2 linked regions of the Xenopus tropicalis genome follow. The protein of the gene in region 1 binds, or shares a complex with, the protein of each later gene. Links are inferred from orthologs where the notes say so. Each region holds a gene or a part of one and is shown on either strand. Other genes may lie near its edges. The genes, in order: adgrg1 and cd81.

Evidence for each region.
Region 2: adgrg1 (region 1) and cd81 share a complex: the UniProt entries of both Homo sapiens proteins name them as parts of the GPCR-tetraspanin complex. The link is inferred for Xenopus tropicalis from reciprocal best matches to the Homo sapiens genes ADGRG1 and CD81.

Annotation. Positions count from the first base shown.
Region 1 is NC_030680.2:76,186,449-76,202,571, reverse strand, and holds the start of adgrg1 (adhesion G-protein coupled receptor G1), read left to right. Parts: upstream 1-7,369; 5' UTR 7,370-7,384; coding exon 7,385-7,467; intron 7,468-16,123. UniProt on the Homo sapiens protein: Adhesion G-protein coupled receptor (aGPCR) for steroid hormone 17alpha-hydroxypregnenolone (17-OH), which is involved in cell adhesion and cell-cell interactions.
Region 2 is NC_030680.2:22,299,758-22,315,930, reverse strand, and holds the start of cd81 (CD81 antigen), read right to left. Parts: upstream 7,211-16,173; 5' UTR 7,145-7,210; coding exon 7,079-7,144; intron 1-7,078. UniProt on the Homo sapiens protein: Structural component of specialized membrane microdomains known as tetraspanin-enriched microdomains (TERMs), which act as platforms for receptor clustering and signaling.

The sequences.
Region 1 (16,123 bases):
TAGGTGATAACAGATATCCATAAACCCTTTTGAAGGGTAAATGTATCGAGAGTGGAATGTAACTTACAAAGGATTGGCGGATTAGGTTGCTTTTTCATACCCTCCTCCCTTACCTTCTCCAAATCCCTTTTGTAATTGAGACATTCCTTAACTTCGCCTGTAGGGCAGGTTAGAAGTACATATTTAAGAGGTAGTCTGTCTGTGTCTTGCTCTCTGTTTACCTTCATAAAGAATCAAGACTGGATAGGAAATTGAAGTGTTATAAAGCAATTCCAGTTTATGCAGATGCTGGAAAAAAGAAAAGCATTTACCCTCTATTATTTTTTAGTCCTACTACACGTCTTGCCATTCCAAATTTAAGATTATTTACCAGTTCTCTTTGTAGTAGAATATGCACATGGTCATTTTAAAACTGACACATTCGATATTAATAAATAATGAGGGTATAGTTTATATTTTTATAATACAATTATCATATCAAAATTTCAAAATCAGTGAAACTTGTGCATTATAATAAATTATGTAAAATGATGTAAAAAATTAGGATATTGGGAGTTCCCTGACCCATATAAAAACACTAGGCCTTCGGCCTCATACCTTAATATGGTCAACCAAATGTAATTAAGCAGTTAGGATCATGTAGCATTAGATTATAAAGAGAGACCATTTCATCTACAGGGAAAAATAAGAGCCACTAAAATGCTCAGATATTCTCTGGTACTATGTTTCACTTAGGTGTGGAGTTGTGTTAAAAGGTAAGTACAATTTTACTGGATACAGTACGCTATAAGGTGGCCATACATGGGCTAATTGTAGCTGCCGATATCAGTTACTTAGACCGATTCGGCAGCTTATCGGCCTGTCTAGGGGCACAAATGACAGGCCTGTCCGACCGAAATCTGGCCTGATCTGGCCTGAAATTGGCCAGATATCGATCGGAGGTTAAAAAATTTAGTCGGATCAGGGAACGCATTGGCTCGTTTATGCGTTCCCTGAACCAATTGCACCTATTACCGGTGTTCTAATTCGATCGTTTGGCCCTAGGGCCAAACAACCGAATTATCCTGAATTCACCCTATATTGTCCACCCGTAGGTGGAGGATATCGTGAGAAGTTCCGCTCACTTGGCGACCTCACCAGGCAAGTGGATCTTAATTATGGCCACCTTAACACCTGTAATGAAATCATTGGTTCAGTGACACCAGTGAGTATGTGCTGAAAAAATCTAAAAGAAACAGCTTTAAATAAGCTATTTATTTATTTATATAGAAAATGCTTATACACATACAGTTATGTGTAAGGCAGAATAAAAGATGTAGAATATTTCGTAATTCCTTTTGTCAGCTCTGAAAGGTCAAGCTGATAAAGCAATACAGCAATGTTCACAATGCCTTATCATTTCCTTTCATTGTTACAGAAACTGGCCCTTGCATGACATTGCTGTTCCTATATTTCACATTCTTTTTTACCCTGGAAATTACTACTGTTCAAGTCAATAACAAATATTAATGGGATACATTATACTTTGCTGTAATATATTCTAAGTGCAAAAATTCACAAAAAGGAAGTGGTAGCACGCCAAGCAAAATACATAAGTAAAATGTGCGAGTGATCAGGCTAATTTAGCTACAAACCTATAAAATATAGGGGATTGATTAATGCATATTCCCTGGTCCCCTATTTCATTAGTACTTGACCAAATGCATATATTTTTTAAAAATGGGGTTTTAGTTACAAAGTCTGATCATAAAATTGCCAATCCACCATATCACTTCAAGGTAAACCCCACTTTTTTCCCTGGAGTTGTGTGTGTAAAATTGCATTTATAATACTATAGCTAATTTCAGCTTCCATAATTCTGTTCTGTAACAGCCATGCTTCTTCTTATTTCTCTCACCTCAATACTCCATAACCACTATATTTAGCGATCTATAGGCGTGCCCACTACTGATCAATTCCTCCTATCTTTTTTGTGCATCTCACCCTTTCACTTATTTATCCCTTTACTGTTCACCTCATTAGCCTAACACAGTTACAAAGTCTTAAACCAAGTAAAGTTGAAACATTGACAAAAGTTCATGAAGTTCAATATCTGCTGTTAGCTAAATATTTCTCTCTCCAACTCCTCTGCCTTCATATTTCAGGAAAAAAACCTGCCACTGAGTTTGGATGTTTGTCTTATTAGACAGCTAGGAAGGAATGCTGCCAGATCCTCCTGGGTGGTAATTACTTTACTTGAAAGTTTTTTTTAAAGTTACAATTTTAAATGTAACTTAATTTGAAGTTTCTCGCAGCCTCACAAGAGGTAAGCTATTATAATAACTGGAGATTGCCTACCAGAAACAGCTTTCAAATGCAGTTCTTTTTTAAATATACAAATAACACCACTGAACATTTTTTTTATAGTGTATAGTTTAAATGTTGTTTCAATAAGTAAAAAAATATGTTCACTTTGTACCGGGTAGGGAGGGGAAGGACAATACTTACAAAATTATATCTCTCATTCACTTTGCCAAAAAGAGACAAATACCTGCAATGATTTTAACGACAGACGCGGAAAAAGCTTTTGACAGGGTCTCCTGGCCCTTCCTAAGACAGACACTGGCTGGAATTGGATTGGGGGAAATAACCATCAACAGAATCATGGCACTATACCAAGAACCTACAGCCCGCGTTAGAGTAAATGGCTCACTCTCACCACAGATTCATATACACAATGGAACCAGACAGGGGTGCCCCCTTTCCCCGCTCCTTTTTGTGTTAGTGATGGAAACCTTACTAGCACACATAAGGGGAAACCCTGATATCTCAGGCATTATAACAGGCAAAAGAGAACATAAGATAGCAGCATTCGCAGACGACCTATTACTAGTCATTACAAAACCCAACATAACGCTACCGAATGTAATGCAGCTGCTCCTACAATTTGGCAAAGTATCAAACTTCAAGGTAAATGTAAGCAAGTCAGAAGCCATAAATATCAATCTCCCAATCTCAACAAAAACTAAACTAGAACAGAATTTCCCATTCCAGTGGTCCCCCAACAAGATTAAACATTTAGGAATATTGCTAACACCCGACCTCTCCAAGCTATACCAAGCTAATTTTGTCCCATTAATAGACAAGGTGGACAAACAACTGAAAAGGTGGAAAACGCTAGGCCTATCATGGTTTGGGAAAATACAGGCAATTAAAATGTCTATAATGCCACAAATTCTCTACTATCTCCAAACCATACCTATTAAGATCCCTAAAATATTTTTCCAATCAATTAAGAGAACAATATCCAATTTCATTTGGGGAGACAAAACCCCCAGACTCAAATACGAAACCCTAATTCTCCCCAAAAGCAAAGGAGGACTATCAGTCCCAGACACTTACCGGTACTACGCATCGATCCACCTGGTGCGAACCCTCCACTGGTACCTGCAAAGTAAGCAGAAAATATGGGTGGAAACCGAACAAGCACTGTACAAAATCCCACTAAGCAACTTACTATGGGCCCAACCCACAAATATACCCAAGGAAACGTTATCACACCCTGCTATAGCGGCAACACTAGAAATCTGGAACAAACACAGACAACAACTTATCACAACAACACCCTTCCCCAAATTCCAAACACTGATAGCAAACCCAGAATTCCCCCCCAGCTTAGACACTAGGGCCTTTGCAAGATGGGGAACTTATAAGGAAAGAGAAACCAGGTTAACTGATTTTTATAAAAAAAGGAAAATCATAAATCTGGCAAGCATTCAAAAAATTTGGGGACCCCACCCCAGAGACGCATGATGCTACAACCAACTACATCATTACCTAAACAAATTTAAAGGAACACCACCTAGTAACCAAACAACTACATGGGAAAGTTTGATAGAAACCCAGAAATTACCTACAAGACCGCTGTCTTATACATACCAATTTCTGCTGATAAACTATAATACCCCCCAGCAGGGCTATTTTGATGCAGAGAAAAAATACTAACAAATATCCACAAATCCTCCAGAGCATCAAGAATACGGGAGATGCTCTTCAAAATAACCACCAGATGGTACTATGTGCCCGAGAAGCTAAATAAGCTTTTCCCAAATGCTAGCAACAAATGCTGGAGATGCGACTCTGAGGTGGGGTCCTTCAAACATATATGGTTCTCATGTACAGCTTTGACAAAGTTCTGGAGTAAAGTGTGTGAAACAACCAGCAATATCACTAATAGCAATATACACCCCTCCAACCTCCCCCTGCTTCTACTATACTATGATGGCAACAGCAAGGTAATTGTAAAAGATAAATTGACACTCCACTTACTGCATGCAGCAAAAGCATTAATCCCCAAAAAGTGGAAATCAATAAACCCCCCTACAGTAAAGGAATGGATCACTCTAGTAGAAGAAACTAGGAAACTAGAAGAAATCACAGCCTTGCTGCATAATAAGATCCAACAGTATCATAGTACTTGGAACCCCTGGATAAATTTGCTAAAGTAAGATAATACTACTATAATAGGACAAAATCCTAGGAACGAGAACCTACATACCAACAGGTGACCTAAGATGTAATGAATATGCAATGTATTTTACTATCTTTGTATAACAAAACTCGCTGTTAACCCTGTCAAAACATAATGGACAATGAATACTGTAACTTTTGCCGAACCCACCCCCCCCCTTTTTATCTTCTGTACCCCTCCCCCCCCCCTTTTTCTCTTTTGTACCCCCCCCCCCTCTTTGAATGAAAAATCAATAAAAGTAAGATTTTGAAAAAAAAAAAAAATATGTTCACATATAGATTGCCATCTGCTTTATTATTCCGCCATTCTTTGTTATCCAAGATATCTATATTTTCTATTAAGGTAGTAGACCTGACAAAGCAAATACAGAAGCACAACAGCAGTAACATTAAGTCTAATATGTGTGAATATTGCATAAAGATGATATTAATATCGTTTTCTATCTTTGTCAGGCATTATATGCAAATGTGCAGAGACAATTTGTATTTCTACAAAAAAATCTAGGTACTTTTATACATTAATCTTTATTTAAATGACTGTGATACAAATCTCTAAGTACATGGCATAGTTTGTAGAGAATTAGTACTAGTAAAGCCATGGCTGTATAATTGATCTAATTACTTTTAGGGCTCTGGCACACGGGGAGATTAGTCGCCCGCGACAAATCTCCCTTGTCACAGGCAACTAATCTCCCCGAACTACCATCCCACCGGCGAAAATGTAAGTCGCTGGTGGGATGGCACACGCTGCACAGGCGATTTTGGCAAATTGCCGAAGTTGCCTCGCGAGGCAAAACTAATCGCAACTAATCTCCCCGTGTGCCAGAGCCCTTACTAGACATTTTCATCTGGCTGAACTCTCATCAGAGAGTTCCATCAGACCATGCTCCTAGGCCTGTGTAGCTCTCCCCTTGCTGGCTTCATCAAAGGGTATAATTACATAAAGAGAAGTGATAAGGATAATTTTAGCAGTAGACTCCAAAACACCACTGGCTTCAGTACTTCTACTGCACCTATTACTTATCAAGGTGTAAGGTGCAGCTACTTAATACACTAAAAAAAACTCTGCTAAATATGTAAGAGTATATATATATATATATATATATATATACTGTATATATATATATATATATATATATATATATATATATATATATATATATATATATAATCCTGGGGATTTGGGCCGAATCCAGGCTGTTTTTGAAGGATATATATTTACAGAGATTATACATCATTCCCTGCTCCAGCAGAGCATACAGTCTAATGCAGTGATCCCCAACCAGTGGCTCGGGGGCAACATGTTGCTCCCCAACCCATTAGATGTTGCTCTCAGTGCCCCCAAACCAGGTAGTTATTTTTGAATTCCTGACTTGGGGGCAAGTTTTGGTTGAATAAAAACAAGATTTCCTACCAAATAAATCCCCTGTAAGCTGATAGTGTGCATAGAGGCTACCTAATAGCCAACCTTAGCCCTTATTTGGCTCCTCCATGAACTTTTGTGATGAATGCGTTGCTCTCTCAAGTCTTTTTACATTTGACTGTGGCTCATGAGTAACAAAGGTTGGGGACCCCTGGTCTAATGTCTCTATCACACTCACACACACACTAGTGCTAATATACCTGCTTGCATGTTTTGAAGTTACATTTGGAAAGAAACCCACGCACACAAGGGGAAGACATACAGACTTCTTGCAAACAGTACCCAAGCTGGAATCAAACCAAAACTTTGACCTTAAATAAACTTTTTTTTTTTTTTTTTTTTTACCTTTCTCAAGAAACGTTCTCTGGGCATTACCAAAATGCTGAAAGTTTTTTCCCCTTTATGTCTCACCTATACTGGGGCACATTTTGTCCCATTAAGGTAGCACCTAGGCTATTAATATTTCTTCTTGCAGTAATATGATACTGGAATGACACTGTACAGTGAAATGACACTGTACTGTGTCTCACTGAGCATACATAGGATCACCCCTACAACATTTGCTGCTTGGTAAGCCATAGCCAAATTAATATTGTTTGGGCGCTAAGGCCTAAAAAATGAGATGATGCAGTTCATTCTCAGAAATTCACACTTATTAAATAAATAAATAAATAAATACATAGATAAATAAATGCATTTACTTATTTCTGGTTTCTGCACTAAGGCGAATTTGCAATAGCACAGGAGCCAGTTTGATTACATCTGGTTTTTTTTCTAATGTGTCTGCTACCTGGTTTAAATGTATGTTAGAAGTAAATGGAAAGTGTCTGTCAGTGGAGACTGGCATTATATTTTTCAGTGAGATGGTTGCAGTGACCAAGACTGTGTAGAGTGAAAACCTTTTTTCCACACTACAGTCTAGGATGTTAACATTTTGGAAAAGTGATCCCCAAGCAGTTGCTCGTGAGCTGTGATGCTGTTTCTCACCAATCCCATTGATGTTGCTCTCAGTGGCCTCAATGTAAGTGCTTTTTTAAATTACTCGCTTGGAGGCAGATTTTGGAGGCATAAAAACACAAGTTTATGCCAACAGAATTTCCTGCAAGCTAGCAGCCCACATGTGGCTACCAGTTAGCTTAGAATTTTTTCATGCTTGTATGGCTCCCCAACAGTTTTTACATTTGAGTGTGGCTCCCAGGTAAAAAGAAGGTTGGTGATCCCTGTTTTGGAAAAAGAAGCGAGCCAGAGATTGGTATTGTGAATCTTTGGATTACAGATTACAGTTTAGTCTGAAACAAGGCAGGGATGTCTCCCCACGTATCAGGGTTTGCTGCCTACTTTAGTAGGTTTCTCAACAAAGCCTGCTTTGTTTTTAGAATGGTTTGTCTGTGGTTCAGAATACTAAGGTTCCAGTTGTGAGATTGCATTCCTGCCTCTGCACTTGTAGTTGCCATGTGCTGTGCAAGCAAATGCTTGGTGCTGCACTCTGGGAACCAGAAGCAAGTATTCTGCAGAAACTTCAAACCAGCAGTGTGGTAAGTTTTCCTACTCGTCTCTCTGTGTTTCATAATTCTTTCTCTGCTTCCATACAGAACAAAGAACATTTTAGGTTAAACTGTATATTTTATTTTAACACATTTCAAATTCATGTGTGGAATACATGTGGCTTGTAAGGTAACAACAAGATTGGGCAAGCTTTAGCCCCCCCTGTTGCTACCTTACTGCAACTCTCAGTATCTCACAAACAGTCAAAGGCTGTGGTAAATGATGCATATTCTCTGTAAAACATTGTGGAATATATCAACACTATATAAATTATAATAATAGTATATGCATTTTGAGCATCTGTGAATTATGTGTTTATTAGGTTTTATTTGAAAGTAGTTGACTGTCAGCAATGAGGAAACTTGAGTATTTGTGTAACCGAAAGTCTACCTTTTTTTTAAAGCAGACTTCTCATTAAAAGGGAAGTAAAAGAACCACATGTTTTCAGTAGCTGTTGTAAAATATGGGCCTCTATTATCTATTTTATCTGTAGCTTTGTTTGTATATCAGCTGTTAAAACCTTTATAAATAAAATAATAATACTAAAACAAGAATAAGTGTTCTTTCACAATACAGACTTGAGTTTCAGAGTTGTCAGCAGTTTACCTGATAATATGCTTATAGCGGTACAGTGGATGTCAGATGACATACCCAGGACTTACATCAGAAGTTGGTGGATTTGAGTTTTGCTGTACTGATTCGAGCGCATGCATAGAATATATTGTACAGACAGTGGAGCTAACTGAGATCACATGAAAAGTCTGTGGCAGAAACCCAACCTTTGAAACACTAAAATTCACATTTGCGTTTGTATTGTGTACTGTAATCAAAAAGTTTAAATTGTCCTTTCTTTCTAAAAACAGCAGTTATGTCATGCTTAATGGCCAAACCTCTAGTTTATTTAAATGTATGAAATTCAGACCATGGTGTTGAAACCTACTGTTTACATCACTGCTTCCTATAACAGGATTGGTTAAAATGATAAAGCTTAGCAAGAAACAACAGCTCCTCTGCAGTTTTAATATGTGTATTTTATGAAAACTGATTTTCTTTAATAACAGAAAACTAACCAGCTCTTACTGCATATTGTGATAAGTAAATCTGTCCTGTTTCGCTGCTATGTGAAGTCAGTGGACATGTGGTAATGAAAATATTTTCACTCATCATTTCATATAATGCATACACAGGTATTAGATTTGTATATTAAATCTATCCTTAATGCTTGGTACCCGATGTTTTCCAGATAGATTGGAAGAAGTCTCTCTGTACTCTAGAGAACCATACAATAAGGCCCTGTTTTTTAAAGTGATACCGACGCTAAAAAAAACTACTCTTCAAAATATTAATGTACATTAATGGGCTTATTTATCAATTTTTGAGTTTTGTGAATCAAGTTTGTTTTTCTAAATCAATAAACTTACATATCTAATGCTCGCTTTTTTGAGTTTACAAACTCAGCCATTGACTTCTATAGAAGATGATAGATGGCAAATTTTTACAAAAATAAGAATTGTTCAATTAGACTTTGTAGGAAGTAGTATTTTTGAGCTTTCTCGACACCAATTCCATCGCAAAAACTTTAAATTGCATAAACACATAGGTTTGCATCAAAGGATTCAGAACACTGAGTTGGGTGACTACCAAGATTTTTCAGCAAGATTACTCTTCTAACAAATTGTTAAGATTATGCCGGCTGAAATCCTAAACTTTAATTTTCCTGTGATGCCTGGGTGTAGTTAGTGTTTTTAGGAGCTGAAATTAATATTCTCTTTCTCCGTAAAAATACAGGAAGCTAGTAGTATGCCAAAAATACAGGGAGCTAGTATGACACAGAAAAATACAAGCAGCTATTTAATATATCCTAATAGGGCATTTGTACAGAAATGCTTCAGTAAAAGCACTGAATGGTTGTGTAACAGTGACCACAAAAATAAAAGCATCAGACAGGACCTGCCGTCTCTAGCTGAATGGCAGATAAGAAAAGGAAACACATGCAGGGCTCAGATAAAACACAGCAGCTTGAAGTAGAACAACAAAGTGGCTCATACAGAAGGATAGGAAATGGAACTGGCATTTGGGGTCTGTTGCCTTGCCCTCTTTCCACATATAATTAGAGAACATAGAAATCCAGGTTCTTCCTGACACGTTACACAGGTGTTTGTTTATATTCATGCCAATCATAATCCATTTTTATGCTGACATTTAGTAATTGGTTTCTAATTATTATTAATATAGTTATTTAGGTATACATTCAGGTATTAGTTTCATTTGTTACTAGGTAGTGGAAATTATAAAGTGGTTCACATAAACAATGATAAAATATGGCAATGCTGAGCAGCTCTGTATATTGTGATGCTGCTTCTACTGCAAGTTTGTCGCTAAGTTTCCCCTTCTAAAACAACCTGTACCAAGTGCTCCCAGCATCTCTATAGTATGTAGATCCTGATCTGAGTGAATAATAACAATCAATGCATGAGTACCTGGTTTGAATGTGTTACTTAAAGCTGGGATTGGGTGATCTTCAGAGTTAATTTTCTGAGGAGTGTTCCATGACATTAGGGCTGTTACACTTCTGGTCTCATCTCGTGTAAAATTGGGCACAGTTTTCACTGGCCTTTAAGTGGGAAGCCAATATAATGGAATGTGAAGACTACAGGGTGTTAAAGAAAGTACACGTCCCATGTGGAATGGGTGTACTTATCTGCACTGGCCTGACATGACATCATGGTGATCTGGTTGGAGGATAGGATGACTGGCATCAATAAATAAGAGTAAATAGGTGGTTCAGGCTAATGATTTCATAGCTGCCAAATGCCCTCAATTTTGCATTACCAGATCACTTGAAAAGTCATTAATGCTTCTTATAAATGTGTTGCAGGGCTGCACTGATTGCATTTAAGTTAAACTGCATTAAATCTCATCCATTTTAGCTAGATGTGTCCCTGAATTGTTAAGTGATTGGTTAACCCTATATTAATATTCAGGGGTAGTCCATGTCCATTTAAATATACAGAAGTTCTCTGATTACCTTCTGCCAAAGAGCACATACTAGATACACAACAGTTTCAATGGTGTGCTAAACACCAAGGGGTATATTTATAAAAATGTGAGTTTAGAGCTCACCACAGATCAATTCACATATTTTCTGTTCATTTCTATGGGATTTTTAGAAGCGACTTTATCTATAAAAGTTAGACTTTACTAATTGATAAATACGCTTCTAAAAATCCCATAGGAATTGATAGTAAGTGGGTGAATTTTTCTTTGATGAGCTCTTATTTCGCATTTTGATACATTTGCCCCCAAATGTACCGTGTGACTGTTAAATGGATATTTAGTAAATGGCGTGCTAAAAGCATAGTTTGCAAATTTTCATCCCAGTGTCTTTCTGGGCTTTGTTTTGCACTGTAACATACACTTTAGGTAGAGCTAGTCTGATCTTGCTTGAATTCCTCATAAGCTTTCACTAACATGACTGAACAGACAGTCCATATTCCACTTTTTGTTTGTAAATTGAAAAAAATTGTGACTGATAAATTTCACCTTTTGACTCCACACATGCTGGCAGCTCATGCAATCTTCTGTTAACTCCACAAACGGCTCCTGTGACAGAGATGTATTGACCTATGCAGATTATACAGTGTATATCTTCATTTTGGAACAGATCTGACTCCCTGATCTGATACTTTAAGGTGCCCATACACGTGATCCGCTCGCTTGGTGATCGAATTATAATGGCGGCAATGGGGCAGTCGGTTCGACTAAATCTTTTAACCTGTCCGATAGATATCTGGCCAATTTGAGGCCAGATATCGGTCAGACATGCCCCTCGTTCCTGCCCCTACACGGGGAGATAAGCTGCCGAATCGAGCGTTATCGGCAGCTATAATCGGGCTGTGTACCTTTACAGTCCTTTTACGCGAAATAATGTGCTGCTAGTTTAACTCCCACTAGGACAAATCTTAGCTTTTAAACTTTAGAAACATTTCATCAACTAAAAAACAAAACATTAACAGGTGCAATAAAGTGCGGGAGTTTTAGCTGGACTAGAGATCAGAAGAGAAAGTTTGGTACAAATTGTGGGACAATCTCAGGAAAAATTCTATGACGGGGCATCTAAACCAGGTACACTGCCAAAAAGAACCTCCTGCAGGCTTCCAGTCCACATAAGGGGTACTACATAGCCAATCATAGCCCTTATTTTTGGCATCCCCAGACACAGTTTTCATGCTTGTGTTGCTCCCCTAACTTATTTTACATTTAAATGTGACTCACGGGTACAAAATGTTGTGGGACTGTGCTTTAGAGGCTGCCTTACTGTAGGAACAAGGTTCCATAACTGGTGGACCTGCATATAGACAGCTATATTATTTCAACCCACATCATAAAAATCATTATTAGTAATTTATTGTGTAATTCATTTTAACCCCTTTAGTTAGTACTTATCTACAGATTCACAATTCATAACATTACATAATTATGCCAGAATTCATCAGTATTAAAACATATTACACAGCTGTGATTGGAAAGAAGGCCCACTTTTATTTGGGTTTGTGCATGGCTGGTAAAAGTAAGCCATTTAAGTCTCCTTAAATTCAATAATGACCGATGTACACAACGAAGATCCGCTAAATCTAAAGAGTTACATTGGGTAGTATTTGCCTTTTCAATATGAGATTAGAGCTTAGAGTTGGTTAATAAAAAAAAAGTAAAAGGTGGGCCTGAGAGTTGGCCCCTTTATTGGAGCTCCCTATAGATCCTATCAGTTCTCATACAGTAAATCCGATTTCTCTCAGCATACTTTCCCGCTCCTTCAGCACACACACCAGTCCCACGCTCAAACTTACACGGGTCACTGCCCCTCACCGCGCTGACTTGCAGGGAAAGATAGATGCCACTTCTCTTGGAGAACTAACCCTGGGCTATAAATAAGACTCTCCATATTGAAAAAACTAACACTACCTTATGTGACTCATTTATTGTATTTTCTCGCTGTATGTTGGTCATTACTGCATGCAGTGATTTTTAGGTAAGTAAATGGAGCAGGACTAGTAATGCATTTAGGTGTCTGCATCTGTGCCTTTACAGAGAATGGTTCTGTTTGTGAGTCGATCCCTAAGATCAGTGACAGACAACAGCCCATATGAGACTGCAATTTTGCTTGTCCTGACCAGAAAAGTGGGGGAGGGCTTCAGAGGCCATTTTTGGAAGCAGGTAGATAGAGTTAGCTTCCTACATAGTTAGGCCTGTAGGGACTGATGAGTGACATCAACCAACTCTTGGAATACAGCAGTGAATACAAGGGTTGGAACCAAAGCATTTCAATTTGGCTACACTGAAGAATGGTAGTGGTCTTTGTGAGACTACTTTCTTTTACAGTCATATAATACAATGCAGTGAAAACAGCTAGAGAGATCTAGCAATGCAGTATATTTCTAAAAGAGTAAAATTAGAGTTTGCCAGAGGAATATTCCGCCACTCTCTATTCATTTCTATGGGGTTTTCAGAAGCATATTTATCAAATGGTGAATTCTCATTTTCACCTGCTGATAAATCAGTCTTTAAAAATCCCATAGAAATTAACAGAAAGTGGAGGAATTTCACTGTGGAAAGCTCTAATTTGATTCTTATGAATATGCCCCAAGGGGTGAAAACATCCATAACATATCTCTCAACATTTAAAATTATAAACTGTGATCATTTATGTCCCGGAGCCACATTACCAACCCAGGTATTTTCAGTACTTCCAAAGTCCTGCCTAAAAAAGGACAAGTGTGCCATATGTCATGTAAAAAACATAATTTATTGGAATTGGTCCCTGGGTAACGATCCAACTAGTGATCCCAACAATCCCACCTCAAACACGAGGTTTGTGGGTGTACTACCATATTTGTAAAAAGCTCAAAAATCTAGGCGTGATAAAGAATAATATAGTTAAATATACCTTTGAGCTCATTAAGGGGTGAAGATAAAAGGAACATATTTCATTTGAATTATCCATACGATGTGTTGTGTGTGCATATTTACAACTAGCTTAATCAGAGTATCCTGCTTATAGTTTGTGCTTGTGCCCCAGCAAGTATGAATTGCAGTGCCATTAAAGCAACTGTAAACCCAGTTTTAAAAATATTGCGTGTTGTCTGCCACAGATTGAATGACCTAATTTTGTGGCTCCTTAATTTGTACTCAAACAAACAAAACCTTACAACTCTATACTACATGGGACACCACAAAAAAAGTCTGCACTTAATATGAGAGCATTTATTAGCAACATCCTAAAAGAAATTAAAAGAAGTGTATGTTATAGAGCCATTCCATCTGTTTGCAGGAGGGGTTGCCATATTTGCATGATACATTTGAAAATTATAAATTCAATTCTTTTGGTACTTTACCCATCACATTGGCCCTGGGTAAATGCCCCCTTTTCCCATTTATTAAAGCAGCTTTTATGTTGCCTGCAATTTTTATACCAGCTGGTGAGTGTGACCTTAAAAATACTTTATGCCTGGATGCTAATTTATCTGAATTATTAAATTAAAAAGAAGCTTTGATCAGCTGCAGTGGTAAAGCCAATGGCAGTGCTCATTTACCACTGATACACAGGCAGTAGCTTTGAGTTAGGCAACATTGCACTTTTCAGGGCTAAACCATCAAGAACTTAGGCCTGTTCCATTCGCAGGCCCTCCTGTCACCTTGTCCCAGATTTATTTACCTTAAGTTGCAGAGTGCTGCTCAGATGGATACATGGTTGCCCTCTACTCAAGTCTGCCATGAGCATGACATAACTACAGGAATTCTCGGCATCATGTGGCAAATATATAACAGGTGATTTATAAAGGGCAAACACAGTTGTGGTCGCACAAAGATGGTCGCAGTTGTTGTGCAAATGCTCCAATCATTAAAGGTCCTTTAAAGGTACTGTGTTCAGAAAGTTGCAATATGATAGGTCTGTTCCTAGCTGAGTCTGGATAAATATACAAAAGTAAAGTAGACTGAAAAGTAGTGAAAAATATAATTAACGTTAAACTGGAGTGAAAAGAACATCACATTTACAAAAATCCTAATCCATTACCTGAAAACAGCGATTTTGGTCACTTTAGAGTAGACGTAATTTCTCCAAAAAAATCTGTAGTACTTCCAACAACTTGGTGTAGAGTAATGTTAAAAACAAAAATACTTAATAAAGGAGAGAATTAAAGGAACAGTAACACCAAAAAATGAAAGTGTATAAAAGTAATAAGAATAAAATATACTGCTGCCCTGCATTGGTACAACTGGTGTGTCAGAAATTTATGTAAACAAAGCTGCTGTTTAGCCACGGGGGCAGCCATTCAAAGGAGAAAAGGCACAGGCACATAGGAGATAACAGATAAACACTATTGTATTCTAGAGAGGTCATCTGTTATCTGCTATGTAACCTGTGCCTTTTCTCCTTTTTTCCAACTTTAATGGCTGCCCCCATGGCTACACAACAGCTTATTTATATAAACTATAGTAGCGTTACTGTAGCAAACACACAACTTTTACAAGTGCAGGGCAACAGTACATTATATTTTAATTACTTCAAAAAAACTTTCATTTTTTAGTGTTACTGTTCCTTTAATAGAAATTCTTAATGCAACTACATTTATAACTAGGGTTGCCACATTTTTAAATGTTTTACTAACAGATATTGGGGCAGGCCGTGGGAGGAAGAAGAGGGTATTACAAATTTCCCCAGAAGTGCATTGCTAGTACATTCGTAATACTGGCTTTGGCATTGGCTGGTAAATTTCAAGGGGAAATAAAGAAAAACAGGCAGGCACTCCGGATAAATATAGCGTTCTTGGTAGCTCAACAAGTTAAAGTAAAATCAGTATAGTTTATTTAAACTTACACATAATGCTATAGAGCCTATACTGATTTTACTTTAACTTGTTGAGCTACCAAGAACACTTTATTTATCCGGAGTGCCTGCCTGTTTTTCTTGATTTCCCATTATTGGCTCCCTGAAGCTAAAGGTCTGGGGCATGAGCACCCGGACCCCCTACTACTGTGGGTAAGGATTTTACCTCAATCATCTGAGTTTTATGTACTCTTGATTTTTGGATTGTTTTGGTAAATTTCAAGCTGGACTGGTGAAATACTGGCTGGGCGGCAACCCTATTTACAGCACACATACATAGTATAGGGTGATCATTAAAGGATTTAACACAGTGGTGTAACTACATTTACTACTAACTTACCATAATCATAGGGAGAAATGGTTCGTACTTGGCCCCTCTGAAGATTCTTTTGTGGTGGGGCCTGGGGCTTCCAAGGTACACTACTGATTTAACACGTGTAAATGCACCAGCCTAGCTGGTAAAATACCAGCCAAGGCTGGTATTACACATTTATGAACAACATACTTGATAATTTGTAATAACATCTCAATCCATCCCAGCCCATCTCTGATCTGTCACTTTCTCCCTTTCCTACATAATATTTTGTCATCTAAAAAATTGTCACCTTCAGTTTTTCAGTGACATGATTTTAATACATTTCCTGTATTTATATGGAGACTGGGATCCTAGATTTGTGTACCACTTTTTGCTTCTGTACCACCCTTGTGATTCTGAACAGAACCAGTTTGACTCCACCGGAACCTGTTGCTGTTAAGTTAAA
Region 2 (16,173 bases), about 54 Mb from region 1:
AGCCCCCTGTAAGCTGATAGTGTGCATAGCGGCAACATAATAGCCAATCATCCATCATTTTTTCCAGCTCCGCAGGTGCAGGGGGGCTGCTGCCATGAGGTGAGTTGAGAAACTCGCCTCAGACGGCAGGGCCCTCAAAGTTACCAGGAGCGGCTTTTTGAGTGCGGCTCAAATTCGGCTCTACTAGTTAAGAGATTGCTCTACACTAGCAATGAGGCCTCCCTGGACTCCCTCTGACGTTGTAAAGGTAAGTGTGGGGGGCCGAGGGGTGGTATCGCAGGAGCCGTCTCAAGGGCCAGCAAAACACACTCAAAACTGCCTCTCCATAGCCTTCTGTGATGACTGACTGACCTGTAATGGTATCAATAAGCTGCCAACCTTACTGCACTGCTCTACACTTGGGCAATTTCCCTAAAAAAAATATTTCTTAATTCTAAAGAAATGTAAAGGGTTTGATAATAATTTCACCGCCACACTTCTTCATTATACACTCTGATCTGCCAATTGGGGTAATGTTTCTTGCATGCTGGTTTCTTTCTCTGTCACCCAACTGTTAGTCTGATCACACTGAGTAATAATTACCACGGGGGTGGGTGGGAAACGAGAGTTATTTTCAGAGTGATCGGTTACATACGCAGGCACACAGAGGGTAGTGTAGGCTTTAGGTTTCTGATTTATATGCGCAGAAAAGGGTTTAAAACCACTGCCACCTGTGTCAGTCAAAAACAACAACCATAGAAAAGCCTGTCCTTAGGCCTCAGGCCCAAAGCACATCATCTGAGAGAGACAGAGAGATGCCCCTTTCAGCTTCTTCACAGCAACCAGTAAGAGTTTTGCTTTCATTAGTCTTACTGCATTTGACCAATCAGAGCTAACTGGTTCTTATCGGTTAGAATTCCCATGTTTTCTGGGAAAAATATAGCACACTTTTTATAGCTGCTACCTTTCTTCCCTATTACTGTCGTGTAAAATACCTCAAAGACAGCAGCCTTAGTTACTACTCAGTGCTGAATTGACACAGACATTGCCCAGACAAAGACAAAAATACGTGTATATATAACTGTCAAACACAAATAGCTGCATATTTTTTCTTGGAAAGGTAGGCACTGTGGCATTACTTTGCCTTTAAAATGGTGGGCTAAGGAAGGGTGGGGCTATGCCAAATTGTAAATATTTCATAAACACTAAATAACAGACTGCTGCTTTTGTTAAGGGCTGGTTTATTTTCCACAATAGACACACAGGAAGAAAATAAATAAATATTCCATATCACTGGAAACTTTGCCTCAAAGGATGGAACTCCCACAGGTAACACCTCATTGCCTAGTCCTAATGCTGCACACACAGCCAGATTCAGCAGGAGCATCCCTTATATATACAAACAATGTCGACAATACCATCTCACCCTACTATACCTGCTATCCCACAGCCCCAGTCCCTTCCCAGAGGCTATTATCCCCCCACTGCTACTATAGGCACCATCTCTCCCTACTATACCTGCTATCCCACAGCCCCAGTCCCTTCCCAGAGGCTATTATCCTCCCACTGCTACTATAGGCACCGTCTCTCCCTACTATAGCTGCTATCCCACAGCCCCAGTCCCTTCCCAGAGGCTATTATCCCCCCACTGCTACTATAGGCACCATCTCTCCCTACTATACCTGCTATTCCACAGCCACAGTCCCTTCCCAGAGGCTATTATCCCCCCACTGCTACTATAGGCACCATCTCTCCCTACTATACCTGCTATCCCACAGCCACAGTCCCTTCCCAGGGGCTATTATCCCCACTGCTACTATAGGCACCATCTCTCCCTACTATACCTGCTATCCCACAGCCCCAGTCCCTTCCCAGAGGCTATTATCCCCACTGCTACTATAGGCACCATCTCTCCCTACTATACCTGCTATCCCACAGCCCCAGTCCCTTCCCAGAGGCTATTATCCCCCCACTGCTACAATAGGCACCATCTCTCCCTACTATACCTGCTATCCCACAGCCACAGTCCCTTCCCAGAGGCTATTATCCCACTGCTACTATAGGCACCATCTCTCCCTACTATACCTGCTATCCCACAGCCACACCCCCTTCCCAGAGGCCATTTGCTCATTGCTGTTGCTACTGAGTGGAGGTGCTCTGAGTGCTCTGTGGAGTTGTGACTTTCTCCCAGGCCCGGCTGGGTCTGGGGGTTAGTTTTTGTGGGTATTTTTTCTTTGTTTTTTGCTGTTTTTCCCTACTCAATGGGGAAGAAAGCGATTAAACCGTTTAGCCGGGTAGTGAAAACCCGTTTGAGAAGCAGCAAGAAGGCCACTGGGTCCAACATTGTGGTGACAGTGGAGCGCACTGCAGAGGGCAATGTTTCCTGCTCTCTTAAAGGGAAGGAAAAGAAAAGCAAAACCTGTTCCCAAAGCGGCATGGAGAGTGACTCTGAGGACCTGGGCGCCGGTGTTGGAGTAACTGCAGGGAGCTGCGGAGCTACAACAGAGGCAGACCAGGAGGTGAGAGGAGAGTCTGATGACTGCAAAATGGCTGCTGGCAGTGAGGAGCTTGGAAGCCATGTGGCCCTGGAAGTTGCAGAAAGTGCTCTGACCAACCAGGAAATGGCTGCTGCCTGTGAGGAACATGGAAGCTGTGTGGCCCTAAAAGTTGCAGAAAGCGCTCGGAGTGACCAGGAAATGGCTGCTGCTTGTGAGGTGCATGGAAGCCGTGTGGCCCTGGAGAGTGAGCAGGTAATGGCTGCCGGGCCCCTGGGGAAGGCTGGGGAAGTGCACAAAGGTACTGAGACTGTAATACAGTATGATACAATAATTAATGCTTTGAAGGAGCTGCGGTGTTTGGAGGAGAAGCAAAACAATTTAAACAGAGACATTGACAGACTGATAAAAAATCAGAAGTTGCTGAGAGGAGAGAGGAGAACTCAGTACATCAGGGAGTTGGCTTTCCACAATAAGGAGCTGGAAGAGACTGAAATTAACATTAAAGACATTTTGGCTGTTATAGAGCCATGGAAGGAACTGTATGACAACAAACAGAGATTTGAGCAGATGAAAGAGGGGCAATGTGACTGCTGAGAGACTGCTAAAGTTGCTGAACTGCTCAAAGAGACTGAAGTTTCAAAAACTTTTACTGAATGTAGCGTTGCTACTAACATTGTGCATAGTAACGGTCTTTCCCATACTGATAGTGTGTGTGCAGCTGCCGTTAGTGGGGTGAGTGCTGGGGGCAGTGTGGGGCAAGCAGCTGAGAGTGGTGGCAGCTGAGGTGCAGGTGATTGCAGGTAATGCAATGTGTGTGAGTGAGGGGGGAGGGGCAGTGAGTGCTGGGGCAGCTGAGGTGCAAGTGGCTGGGAGTGGTGCAGCTGAGGTGCAGGTGATTGCAGGTAATGCAATGTGTGTGAGTGAGGGGGGAGGGGAAGGAAAAAATGTCGTTTATTCTGCTGGGAAAGCAATGTGCATGGGGGGACTGAGAGTGTTGCTGGGGCTGCGGGGGGCAGTGTTTTGGGAGGGAAGGAGATTCTTTGCACGTGAGCAGGATGAGGAGTTTGATGATGAGTTTGATAAGAGGAAAAATGTTGTGAAAATTAAGTGGGAGAAAGAGAGGGAGGATTTCCCGGGGCGCAGGTTTGTGGGCAGAAACATTATTAAACAGTTGCTGGGTTTTACCCCACAGGACGTTTATGCCTTGCTGAGTGTCACAGACACAGAGTTTGATTTAAGCTATAAGCTATCCCAAGGGTTAGAGGAGTTCTGGAGGCGGTACCATCTGAGTAAAGAGGCCAAGGAATGGGAGGGGTTTAGGGTAATCCCTGTGTCCAAACCCGAAACCAAACTGGTCACCATTATCATGAAGAGAGAGACAGTGCATGAGCAGGACATCCTCATATGGCTCCGGCGCCAGTGCACTGTCCTATCCCCCCTAGAGCCGGTGTTTGATGAGGAGGGATTCTGGGTAGGGGGGTATAAAGTCCAAGTGAAATTGCATGTGGATCAGAATGTTCAGAAACATCTCCCAAATTCCTTTTTCATTGGGAAAGCAAGGGGTGTCTGTTTCTATGTGGGCCAGCCCAGGCTATGCTATAAATGTGGGTCCAACAGACATTATGCTGTAAAGTGCAACATACAGAAATGTGCTTTGTGTGGGGAGACTGGGCACCCAAGCAAGGAGTGTGTCAAAGCAATAAAGTGTAACCTGTGTATGCAATCCGGCCATGCTTATAGGGCCTGCCCCGACGCCTGGCGCAACATTAGGAAGGCTTGTCCCAATCTGGAAAAAGTAATGAGTACCCCAATGCCAGGGGAGAACTTGCCCCAGACTGAGGGAAGGGGGGAGGAGAGGGCAGGTGGGGCAAGAGAGACAGACAGGGGGCGCCCAACAGAGGTGAGAGGGAAAGAGGGGGAGAACAAACAGGCAAAGGCACAGGCAGCGGTACAGGCAGCCCAAGAGGAGGGAGGCGGAGGGGATGGTTGGATAGTGGTGGGCAGCAAATCAAATAAAGCTAAGGAGGCTCAGTGCCCAGGTGTAATTACCCTCCCAACTGAAAATAGGTTTGTTTTGCCAGGAGGGAAGTCATGGGGGGATTTAGCAGAGGAACAGGTAGAGTTGGAGAGAATGGAGGAGGAGGAGGAGAGGGAGAAAAGGAAAAGTCTCTCATCTGATATCATCTCCAGCAGGAAGAAGAGCAAAAGGGAAGGGGCTTTTCAGTCTCAGGGGGCAGAAAAGGAGTCACTGGAGGAAGGGGAGTTGGAGGAGGAAAGTGTGATGGAGAGTCAGGGGGCAGGTGTGCGGGTACAGGTTAAACGGTCTGCTGGGAAATGTTTGGACAATTCTCAAAAAAAGAAACATAAAGATGCCTCTTGATATGTGTTTTATAATGATCTGTAAGAAATAAGATGCTTTGCAGGAAAGTACGTTTTGTTTTTGATGTAATATTGATTTATGTTTTTTTGGTTTTTGTTTTTTGCTTGATTGAAATGTAATTATTGTTTTATTGTATTTGTTAAATATATTTTAATAAAATTCTCTCCCTACTATACCTGCTATCCCACAGCCCCAGTCCCTTCCCAGAGCCTATTATCCCCCCACTGCTACTATAGGCACCATCTCTCCCTACTATACCTGCTATTCCACAGCCAAAGTCCCTTCCCAGAGGCTATTATCTCACTGTTACTATAGGCACCATCTCTCCCTATTATTAAGGAGATTAATAAGCTTCCCTCATGTTGCTCTACTAAGAGATGAGCTTAGGGGCCCCACTCCTGATTGGACATTATAGGACAACTTACACCCAGGTGCCATTTTCTACACACTGCCATTCTTCATGCTGTTATGAACTATTAATTCAAAACAGATGCATGGAAGGGAGCCTTACATCCTAGCATAGCAATGTGGTAGCAGATAGTCAACCCGCCCACTCATGTACACATAAACACATATGGCCAATAAACAATGTAAGGAATGTATAACCCAATGAAAAATGCTTTATAAGCACATCTTAACCAAATGATGTCATTACAGTGTAATCCTAATTAGTCATCCAACCTCCGTGTTGTTGCGGCAATTAGTGGTGGCAATTAGTTGCTGCGATTGAATTTTAAAAATCGCGGTGACCAATTGCCCCGTCTGTCTTCACCCTAATGCCTTATCCTCTGACTCCAATACACCAATGGGCCCCATTCTAATGGCCAGATTATTCTAAAGATGGCAAACATGTTGGAATCATCAATTTTAATCCCTCCTGACACTAGAAATTCTACACTTAAAGCACTCTATTGTATCTTCCAACGCATACAGTTCTGGGGGCTGGATTTTTTGCTGTAAATAAAAATAACCTTTCCATACCTTTATATAACAAAGCAGCCAATAAGCAAACACTATAAAGTCACTATAAAGAGAAACTGGCTTGTGGATGTGATTATATACATAAATACATAATTCTTTGAACAGATGGATGCATTTTGGGGGCAACACAGGCACAAACACAACGCTGTACGTCACAAGTATAGTGTAAACACGCCCACTGAAATTGTTTCCGCAGTATTATCATTTCCATTGTCACAACTGTTGTACAATTATACATCCTGCACCTTATAGACTGGAAACTCTACTGAGCAGGGCCCTCTGTACTTCCTATAACAGTCAGTATTTGTATATAATCGTTATGGTTTGATATATACGCCGCTCTATTGTACAGCACTGTAATCCTTTGCCCTGTCTGTGAATACTGTGTGTGTAACATACATGCAATAAGCATGATGATAATCACCCTCAGTTTTGCTTAGCATGCACCCACTGTATCAGCATAGCATTATAATAAAGCCTAAGATTTTAAAGAAATAAGGGAAAGGCAATGGGCAGCTACTCCCAACCAGTTGCGCCCTGCCTGTTGCTCAATAGCAATCCCCGCAATTTTCCCACAGTCTTTAATCCCAGTACATAACATCAGTGCTGTCCAATCGGCAGCTGTTCTGTAATACAACTCCCAGCATCCCGCCTAGAGTGCAATTTAAAGCACAAGGAGAGAGTTGCCGCCTGTTAATGCTGGGGGCCAGTGGCTGGGGATGCCTATCTGTGCCAGGGGTGTATATATATATATATATATATAGGGCAATGTTATTGTGATACATGAGGGGCTATGGGTAAGGAGGGGCTAAACTGCCCAGTTGGGCTCAGCAGCCCCCACTATTCCCCCTCTGCACCACGTGGTGTTGGAGACCCTGCAGAGGGGCTGTTGTTGGTTACTGAGTAGGACAGAGGAGGGGGCACAGAATGATCCCCCCCCTCCCATTACAGCCACACTGAAATCCATGGGAAACAGCAGGGCTGGCACCGAGCGACCCTTTCCCTGGCTGGAACGCACTGTGCTACAGGGTTCATCCATTCCCCACCCTGATATAATTCCGCCCCATCACCCCCCTCCCAACTCACAAACACTACGATTCCCAGGTTCCAGCCAACCCTCACCCCCCTAAGCGCTATCTCAGGATCTGTAGGAATGGCGATGGGGGGGGGGGGGTCAGTGGAACCCTGTGCCCCCCTCGTTTGTACCCTTACAAATACCCAATGGATAAGGCACACTCACCCAGAAGATGAAGTTGAAGACAAAGAGCAGATATTTAATGCATTTGGTGCATCCTTCTACCCCCATGGCGGCTGCGCTGAGCGTTCCCCTGTCCCTTATTAGCTGTAAAGCGGATCAGAGATGCGAGAGCGGAGAGACAAGGTGCAGACACAGCCAAGCCGCCTCCCCATACAGTGTCTGTGCCACGCCCACTCCCCTCCCCTGCCCCCCCCCCCCTCCTTTTAAGGAAGGGGGGCTTCCTCACAAGCCAATGGCTATCAGGGTTGGGGTATCCTCCTGAGGCGCTTGTGTCCCTTGCACTACTACTCACTGTGTTTTCAACGCCATTTCCCAGCATTCCTTGTTATTTCTCCACAGAAAACTCATGTTAAATAGTTGAAACTGATAAAGTTCCATCTAAATATCTCTATATAGAATAAGGAAGGTGATAAGGACGTTTGTGCTGTTACAAAACATGCTATCTGGTCGTCTGAGACCAGCAACAACAAAAAAAGTGTGAGGGATTAGTTGTATGTGTATTTGTAATTACCTCACTTTTTATTTTGGTCTGTTCCTATGGACCTTCCCCTCTTCCTTTCTGATGGCTTCTTGGTTGCTAAGGCAATTAATCCTTAGCAACCAGTAAGCAGCTGGAACTTGGCTGGCCATACACGTGGTCGCACGAAACATCGTCAGATCCGCCGCACACCATTCAGGGCTGAATCGACAGGTAAGGAGGTAGAAACAATAGGATTTCTACCTCCTTCTGCCAATTCAGCGCTGAAGGGAGATTTTGGTCAGGCGCCTTCTATGGCGCCCGATCAAAATTTTCAAACTGGTCCGATCGGCGAGTCGGCCAATATCAGCAGCTTCCTGCGATATCGGTTGACTCGCCGACATACCATACACGCACCGAATATCGTACGAAACGAGGTTTCGTACGATATTATCGGTGCGTGTATGGCCACCTTTAGAATTACATAACTATAAATGTAAATATTTAAAAAATGAGAATTAAGAATTTAGATTATTTATATATTGTCTTCGATTATTGATTTATGTTGATGAACCCCCTCAATCTACCCACGGCCCTTGAGCCACACTACTACAGCTCCCAGCATCCTCTGACAGCGAGAGGCCTGTGTGATTAATATTTACACAATCCCATGTTCAGGAGCGGGAGAGAGGGGCTTTCCCTTTTGCAATGTTTAAATTAGGGGAAAAAAAGGACCTCTGTCTTTTGCTAAAGGGTTAAACCCCAAACAGATGGAAAGTACAGTTGGGAAATTGGAAGGGAAACTATAAAGGGCAGGGTGGGGGTAACAGTAGCATGCTTGTTAGGGAAGTGGGTATGTGAGGCTAAAATAAAAGTGTGAGGGGTGCGGGGTGTGTGTCGGAGCTGGGGGAGACGTGTGGAATACATCAGCATAAATCGCTTGGCTGATTTTTATTTTAAGTCTCTTGTCTCTGGTACATTTCCTGCCAGATGGGCCAGGCACATATTTCCCTAGCTGTAAACTCCTGCCATTTCCTTTAGGCACACTGCAGCATTTCCCTTTAAATTGAGGGGCGGCGTACAGTGTACTTGTGCTGGAATTTCTGCCTACCTTTATTAAGAAAATTTCCTCTTTAAGGGCGACTTGTTATGTGTTTCTTAAGGGCTCATAGTGGTTCATCAACGTTATTTTATCAGATGCATGTGTAGGTCTACATAGGATAGGATAGGAAAAGTCAAGTTCACTGGTATCTGGGCCAATGTATATATATAAAAAAATGCTCTACAAAAATCCCCCCAGTGCCCTTTCAGAAACTAGCGTTTAAACCCAACAGTAGACCTGAGGGGGTATATACCCATTTAGTTCTGCAACTGGCACCTGTGCTGCAAGGGAAGGGGGCAGGCAGTCAAGATCCAATACATTTGTTTTCCATAGTTGTTCTGCCCCTGGCCTGTCCCAATAACCCCTTTGCCCTCCCCTTCTATGCTCTCAATCCCTTCCTACTCATTAAATTTGACCCACTTTGTCCATTTATGCTCCTCCATATCACATCACAACTCTACCCTATAATATTACAACTCCACCCCTATTAGCTCATTCACTGGCCTATACACAAGTCCAGACTGGGATTCAAAATAGGCCCTGGCATTTAAAGTACACAGAGGCCCAAACAGCCCCCACAAGCCCAATAAATAGTGACTGTCTATGGCCTCTTACTGCAGCCCCTCTGGGATTTGCCAGTCTGGGCCTGGGGGGCAGAAATGGTGATGCAAACCCAACAGCCACCAGAAAGGGCTGGGATGGCTAGGGCATTGCTGGTGGGGCTGGGCCAGGAGAGGTCCAGGCCCACCACCTTCCTTTGGCCTCATCTAGGTGCAATTTGTACACCTGAACACCCCGCCATCTAGTAGGTTTCAGGCTACAGTGAAGAGAGTGCCCGGGAGTCAGGTTGGCAGTGTGGCATGCCCATAGAAGATACTCCAGGTTAGTTTTTTCACCAAAGATGATCACTGGCTTGGGATATGAAGTAAGAATTCTTTTTTACTTGAATATGAATGCCTTATGGGGCAGCAGGAATAACTTTTTTTTTTTTTTTTTTTTTTTAAAGTCTTGTTTTTATTGTTTTGGCACAATTTGTTTGTCTTGCAAGATCCATCATTTAGAAAAGGATTACAATAGGATATATTTAGCTGCAATGGCAGATAGTTGGATAGTTTGGCAGCACCATTATTGACAATGGTATAAAGCACCACAACTATATCCTTAACTTGCGGCCTAACATCGGCTGTGGGAGCATACTGGGAGAAGCAGTGCAGCGTGGGATAACGCTGAGGCAAAACATGTTGGGCAGCTGAATTTGTTAAATGCCTAATTCAATTTTTCCACCCCTGCTTTTATTTAATTTGTTCGTTTGGCTTGTTGGCTCGGGGCCACAAGGTTTCATTAAGTCAGCCTTGGTGTAAATGCGTCTGTATCCGTTTCTTTTATAATGAAGAACTGAAACTAATGAGTGAGTTTGTGTCTGCGCGCAGAGAGGAGGGGGAAATAAAGCTCTGACCTGGGCGCACTTAAAAATAGGCACCAGAGGAAATATCTGAAATGCTTGCATTTCATCAAGAAAGGATGTGAGCACTGATACAGAGGGATATCTTATGAGAGGGATTGCTGGGGTATTGAGAACTAGCATATAATGGCTAATTCGATCGTTTGGCCCTAGGGCCCATACACTGCCAGATAAGCTGATTCAAAATTGGTCTGAAGGACTCAAATCTTCCTGTGTATGGCCACCTTAACCCAACTTTCATAGATTTCAGGCTAAAGCTGACCGGACCAAACCATTTTCCCTGAGGCTGCGGTGCCTAAGGCTGTGGAAAGTGTATTTCAGGGGGGCGAAGAAGCACCCGAACACTATAGAAACTTGAGGCTGAAAGGGCAAATAGTTGGGTCTCCCATTCTGATTTGCTCACATGCAAGCAAACAAATTACACAGGCCACTTTGAGTTCTGTTTGTTATGCAAAAAGGACCTGTCCATATTGGTTAAAATCCAAAGATATGCCAGTAAAGGTCTTCAACCAACCAGGCAAGCTGCCACAACGTCCTTGGCAAAAGAGTGAATTGTTGGCATATGGCCAGCCTAATAGCCCTGTTAGATGAGATAAAAGGGAGGAAAACATAAACTTGCTATACATTCAAAGATCTGTTTGGACACAGTCACCAAACTAAAAAAAACTTTGCTTGATTTGGCCACGCAGGTGTTAGCCGAATGGTGCTGATGCGATCATTTGCCCCCAAGGCCGAACAGCCTATATCAACAGCCTAACAGCAAGTGCCACATTAGCAAAGCATGGCCTATCCCCAGCCAAAACCAGACCTAAACAAGGGATAGGCAGTAGAGTCATCTGCTATCTTAGCAGCTCATTATTTAATCAACTTTTAGACTGATGTCCCACGAAGGGTGTTAGTTGCCCGAGATATCTGCTATCATGGGCAACTAACTGCTCTGAATAGCCTTGTCACCAGTGACCCATATTGTTGCTGGTGGAAAGGCAGTTTGGAGTGGTTAGCCCCCACATCACTTTGGTTTTCCAATGTTGCACAAAGTTTCCTCCTGTAGGTAACTTCGCGCAACTTCTGAAAACTGAAGCAATGCAAAGGCCCCTGGAAAGGCATTTCAGAATGGCTAGTCAACCGCAATAGCCGAGATATTACGCAGGCGACTAACTCTCTCTGTGGGGCATCAGACTCTCTTCGCTGCTCCCATGTCAGCTGGTCTGCACCTGCCACTAACCAAGGTGGGAGCAATGGTTTGGGTCCAGTTCTGCCTTGGGTGTCAAAGCTCCTTGCTTCATCTCTATTGGACTATTAACAACAATGAGCCAGGCAGAAGCTTAGATTAGAGCAGCAGACAGTGCTTTACTACAGTAACATCAATCTGTTGGAAAAAGGAATTTTTTGGCCATGCCTTGTTAGGCCCCAATTGCTTTCCACTACGCAATCCCTATATCTTCTATAAATTGGCTGCAAAAAATCCAGGCTCCTTAACAGGCTTTTTCAGTTAAAGGGATTACAAATACATTTTGTAATCCAAAATGATGGAAAACAGGGTACTTGGCTATTACTACTGTCGACCGGAAGATAGGAAGATGTGCATAATAGTGGCCTTTTGGGTTTACCGGCTAGGCCAGTCAAACACCGGCCAGATGGCAACCCTACAGAAAGAGCAACTGGAGTGCAGTATCAGCCACCAACTTGGGCAGTGCCCCTTAAAGATTCACTGAATATGCCCACAGGACATTTTGATCTTCTTATGCTCACAGATGCAGCATTCAGCATCCACTTTCCTTTTGAAACTTAAATCTAAATGTATTCATTTGCTGCACATGAAAATATTACAACAAACAACTCATTTCCTTACACTCCTATTTCATTCTTGCTTGATTAATGCTCAAGTTGCCTTTTTCAAGAAATTTCACAAAGTACTGTATATTTACTTGCTTTAATTAATATGCTTGTTTTGCTCTTTCCCCCAACTTATAGATATTTTGGCTCAGCTAGCAGTTTTAGGATTGTCTAAGCTGCAGTCCTCTCAAACAGGCTAGCCACAACATCCTAATCACTGGCCATAACCCCCCTAAACCAACTATTAAGCAAGGCAAGAGCTATGGGTTGGCAGCAGAGCCATGTGGCTATGGCACAACAGGATGCTAGGATGATGGGACCCTAGGCACATACCTCTGCTGCCTACTCCTGCATGGAGGGGAGAGTAAGGAGGGTTTGGTGACACAAGCTATAGGTGGGAGGTTGGTGGCAGCCAGGGTTGGGTGTTGGACAAGCAGGCATCCTTGCCTTGGGCGCCTGTGGCACTGCCATTATGCTTCTTTCTATTATAGTATTTTATTATAGAGTGTGAACTGGTGTACCTAGAGGAAAGCCATGCAAACAGGGATGGGGGAACATATAAAAACTCCTACACAGGGCTGTTCTCTTGTTTCAAGTCTGAAACCCTTAGCAATGGGCGGGGGGCCAAAGCAGAGGGATCCTAAGGCCCAAATTGAAGGTGTGGCCTTCTGTTTTAAATTAGACATGTAATGTATGGGAAGTGATTTCCCTTTCCTTCTCTGACTTCCTTGACAGAAGGATGAGTGTCAGCGTGCTAAGAGATAAATGCCTGTACGCAGTGTTAAAGGGCAAATATGCAGTGTTTGAGAGGCTACATTCACTATACTTCTGTATAAATATTTAGTGAAGGATCACAATATAGGTTATTCTCGTTTCTCTGCATCTCTCTTGGCATTAAAAGGAAAGGGCACCTGTAAAATAAAAGGAGAATGAAAGAGATGTGAAATTCAGAGTGGAGCCATCTGGTTGCTATGATTTAACTCTAACAACTGGAAAAAACAGACTTCCCAACTGAGATTTTTATTACTGTTATTAGTATGTAATGCTGATCTTTATTTCAGATGCTCTGTGATTCATACTTCATTGTGATAGTCAAGCAGATGTCTAGTTGCTTGGGTCAGTAGGCTTAGCAACCAAAATCAGCCACAGAGAGCTACAGAACAAAAAAAAAAGCAATTCAAATAAAAACAAGACTACTTGCAGAGGTTATAACAAAAAGTTAGTTCCTATTCCATTTTTATAGGATCTGCCATACTTTCGGCCCTACCATGGTAAAGTGACTCCATGGACATAAAAGTGCCACTATTACTATGGAAAAAGAGAATTCAGTTTAAGGTTGGAGATCCGATTTTGGACATTTTGATCATGAGAATTCTCAAGCTAACTCCATGTGTGCCAGAGTGTTCCACCATGCTCCCCTGCATATCTGTCCTTACTGAGCCCCCTTTTCCCCAGACCCCACTATAGTTAGATTTTCCACCTGGCCAGTACAGCCTGGCCGGTATAATTGAAGTTTTATGCCAATGTTATTATTAGGGAAAAAAAGATAAAAGTACCTTTTCTAGGGAATGTGTGAAGGGTTATAAGGAAGGCTCAGCCAATCTTGAATCAACAAATTAGTCAGGGGTGCTTATACCAGGAAAGGTGAGAACCTTGCCTCAGGCAGCAGCACCCTGCAGAGGAAAATAGCCATTCCTGGTAACTTTAAGAAACAAAATTTCAATTTGTTAATCAATTGTGCTCTCTGCACTAGTTATGCGGTGGGGGCAGCATCTGAAAGCCTGGCTTGAAGCTTAGAAAGGTAAATGCAGAGGCAGCATCTGAAAGCCTGCCTCAGCCAAGGGCCCAGGAATGCACCTGAGTTTAATGGATTCAAGTTATGCCCCCCCAGATTAATATCTGGTCAAGGCTTAATCAGATATTGATCAGGAAGGCTGGGAATGGGAATGGACTATGTCCATTGAGCTGGGTATGCAGAGACTCCCAATAATGTAACTATTAGTGCTGGGGCCCGGGTGCAGGCCAAGCAGGTGGGCCCCCCACCCCCTCTTCTAGATATGGTTTTTGCCGTGGATTCGCATTGGCATGAGTGTTTGGAGGACCCCCGGTAATCCTGCTCCTTAATGATTGGATCAGCCCAGTTTACCTCACCATCTTGTGGGCAAGCAAAGATCTGCTAGTTTGTTGACCTTGCCAAGTGAGTGTTGACCCCAGTATGGCCAGTTTAGAAGGGCTAGCTCCTTGGAAACTGGGCAAAATCATTTTATTTTGGTCTCTTACAAATACAAATGGAGAACAGGAACTACAGGCATAGTGACCCCCTGATTCATCCATTCTGCATCAAATTAGAGTATAAACTCTTTTGCACACGTGGGTTTCCCTGCACCATTCTGATTGGATTCATTAGCAGTCCTTTAAACAGGAGAGCACTACATCATCCTCAGCTGGCAAGGAGAGGAGAAGGAGAAAGCTGTGAGAGCATATGTAATGGAGAGAGGATGGGGTGGGAGTCACTTAGGAAAATGAAAATATATTCTAACGAGAGAGAGAGAGAGAGATTCACAGGGTGCATTTAGAGAGTGAGTGAGAGAAAGAAGGAGGGGTGGGAAAGCGCTGAGGAGTTGGGGGGGGGCAGGGAAAGGAAGAGAAGAGTGGACGGGGAGAAGTGATTTATCAAGTCCAAGGCGCAACAAATGGAGAATTTAAGGAAAGTGGGAGGCCAAGCCAGAAGATCCGCATAAAGCAGGGTGGGGGTGGAGGCAGAAGGTTACAGCCCAAGAATAACTGAAATGCGAGAAACAAAAAGAAATGAATTAATCCAAAGAAGAAAGGGAAGAGGCACAGAAAGGGGAGCATGGGAGTGGGGGAAGGATGTGCTTTCTGGTCAGATGCTCTGCAGGGGGCATAACAATAAATGGAAAGGAGATAGATTAGAATGAGGCTCACAGACACACCAGATGGAAAGGAAATATCCAATGGGCTGCTTCGGGTTCTGGAAGTTATAGTTCCACGACATTCACTAAGGGAAGAGGAATGCACTTTTCTGGGATAAAGGCTTGCAGTCTGAAATGGCAGTAAACGGTTATGTCTTGTATTTGTAACCCTGTGCACTGCAAATTGCTGCAAGAAACAATGACACTGTATGGATAATATATTAGAGACATGGCACATAAAATAGGGTTTTACTTAGTCTTAAGCTGGCCATACATTATGAGGTTCACTTGTTTGGAGAGGTCACCAAACAAGCAGATCTTTCCCCGATATGCCCACCTAAAGGTGGCCATACACTGGTCGATAAAAGCTGTTCGACAGATTTAATCCCAGTGAGCTCACTGATGCAGCCCTTGCCCCAAAGGCCTACATCTTTTGTCAATGCGATTCGATCAAGGTGGATCAACAACATCTTTCTCTGCGTGGCTACCATAAGCAAAATTGGCCACAATCACAATAACAGGGATACAGGTCGTTGGGGTGAGCCAAGAAGATCAAACCTGCCCGATTTTCGGCCCCATACACGAGCATATAAAAGCTGCCACTGTATGACCACCTTACTACTCCTACTCTGGCCACCAGATAAATCAATAACCCATTTTGGACCCCAGCGCCTGGGGCCAGTCTTATTAACTGTGGGCAAAAAGTATCTACTGTACCTCCCCTCTCTCCTGCTGCTGGCTGCCGCTGTAATGCTGCCTGCTTCACTCTCTCCCTTGTTCCATTGGCCCCCAGTAATTCATTACACAATGGGTCCCCAGTTTCTTTTTATTACATGCTGTTGCCTCTATACATTGTATAATAATGTGGCTCACAAGCATTTCTTAACAGACACAGTGACAGCACCAAGGCCCACACAGACTTTATCATCAGCAGTCTCTCAAACCTCTCATCTCCAAGCAGCTAAGTGTGCAATTTATTTAATGCAGGAGTAAGCTCTACGGGGCAGGGACCTCCTTCCTACTGTGTCTCATACCACATGGCACTTATATATATATATATATATATATATATATATATATATATATTTATTGTATTTATTGTATTTATTTATTATATCACTTGTCCTCCCTGTGTGTAATTTTGTAAGATTGTACAGCGCTGCGTACCCTTGTGGCGCTTTATAAATAAAGTTATACATACATACATAGGAGTGATGCCACAGTCCCGTCTTGTGATAAGATTTCCAGAGGGCGGCAGCCGGCTCTGGGACATATGCCACTGTGCGC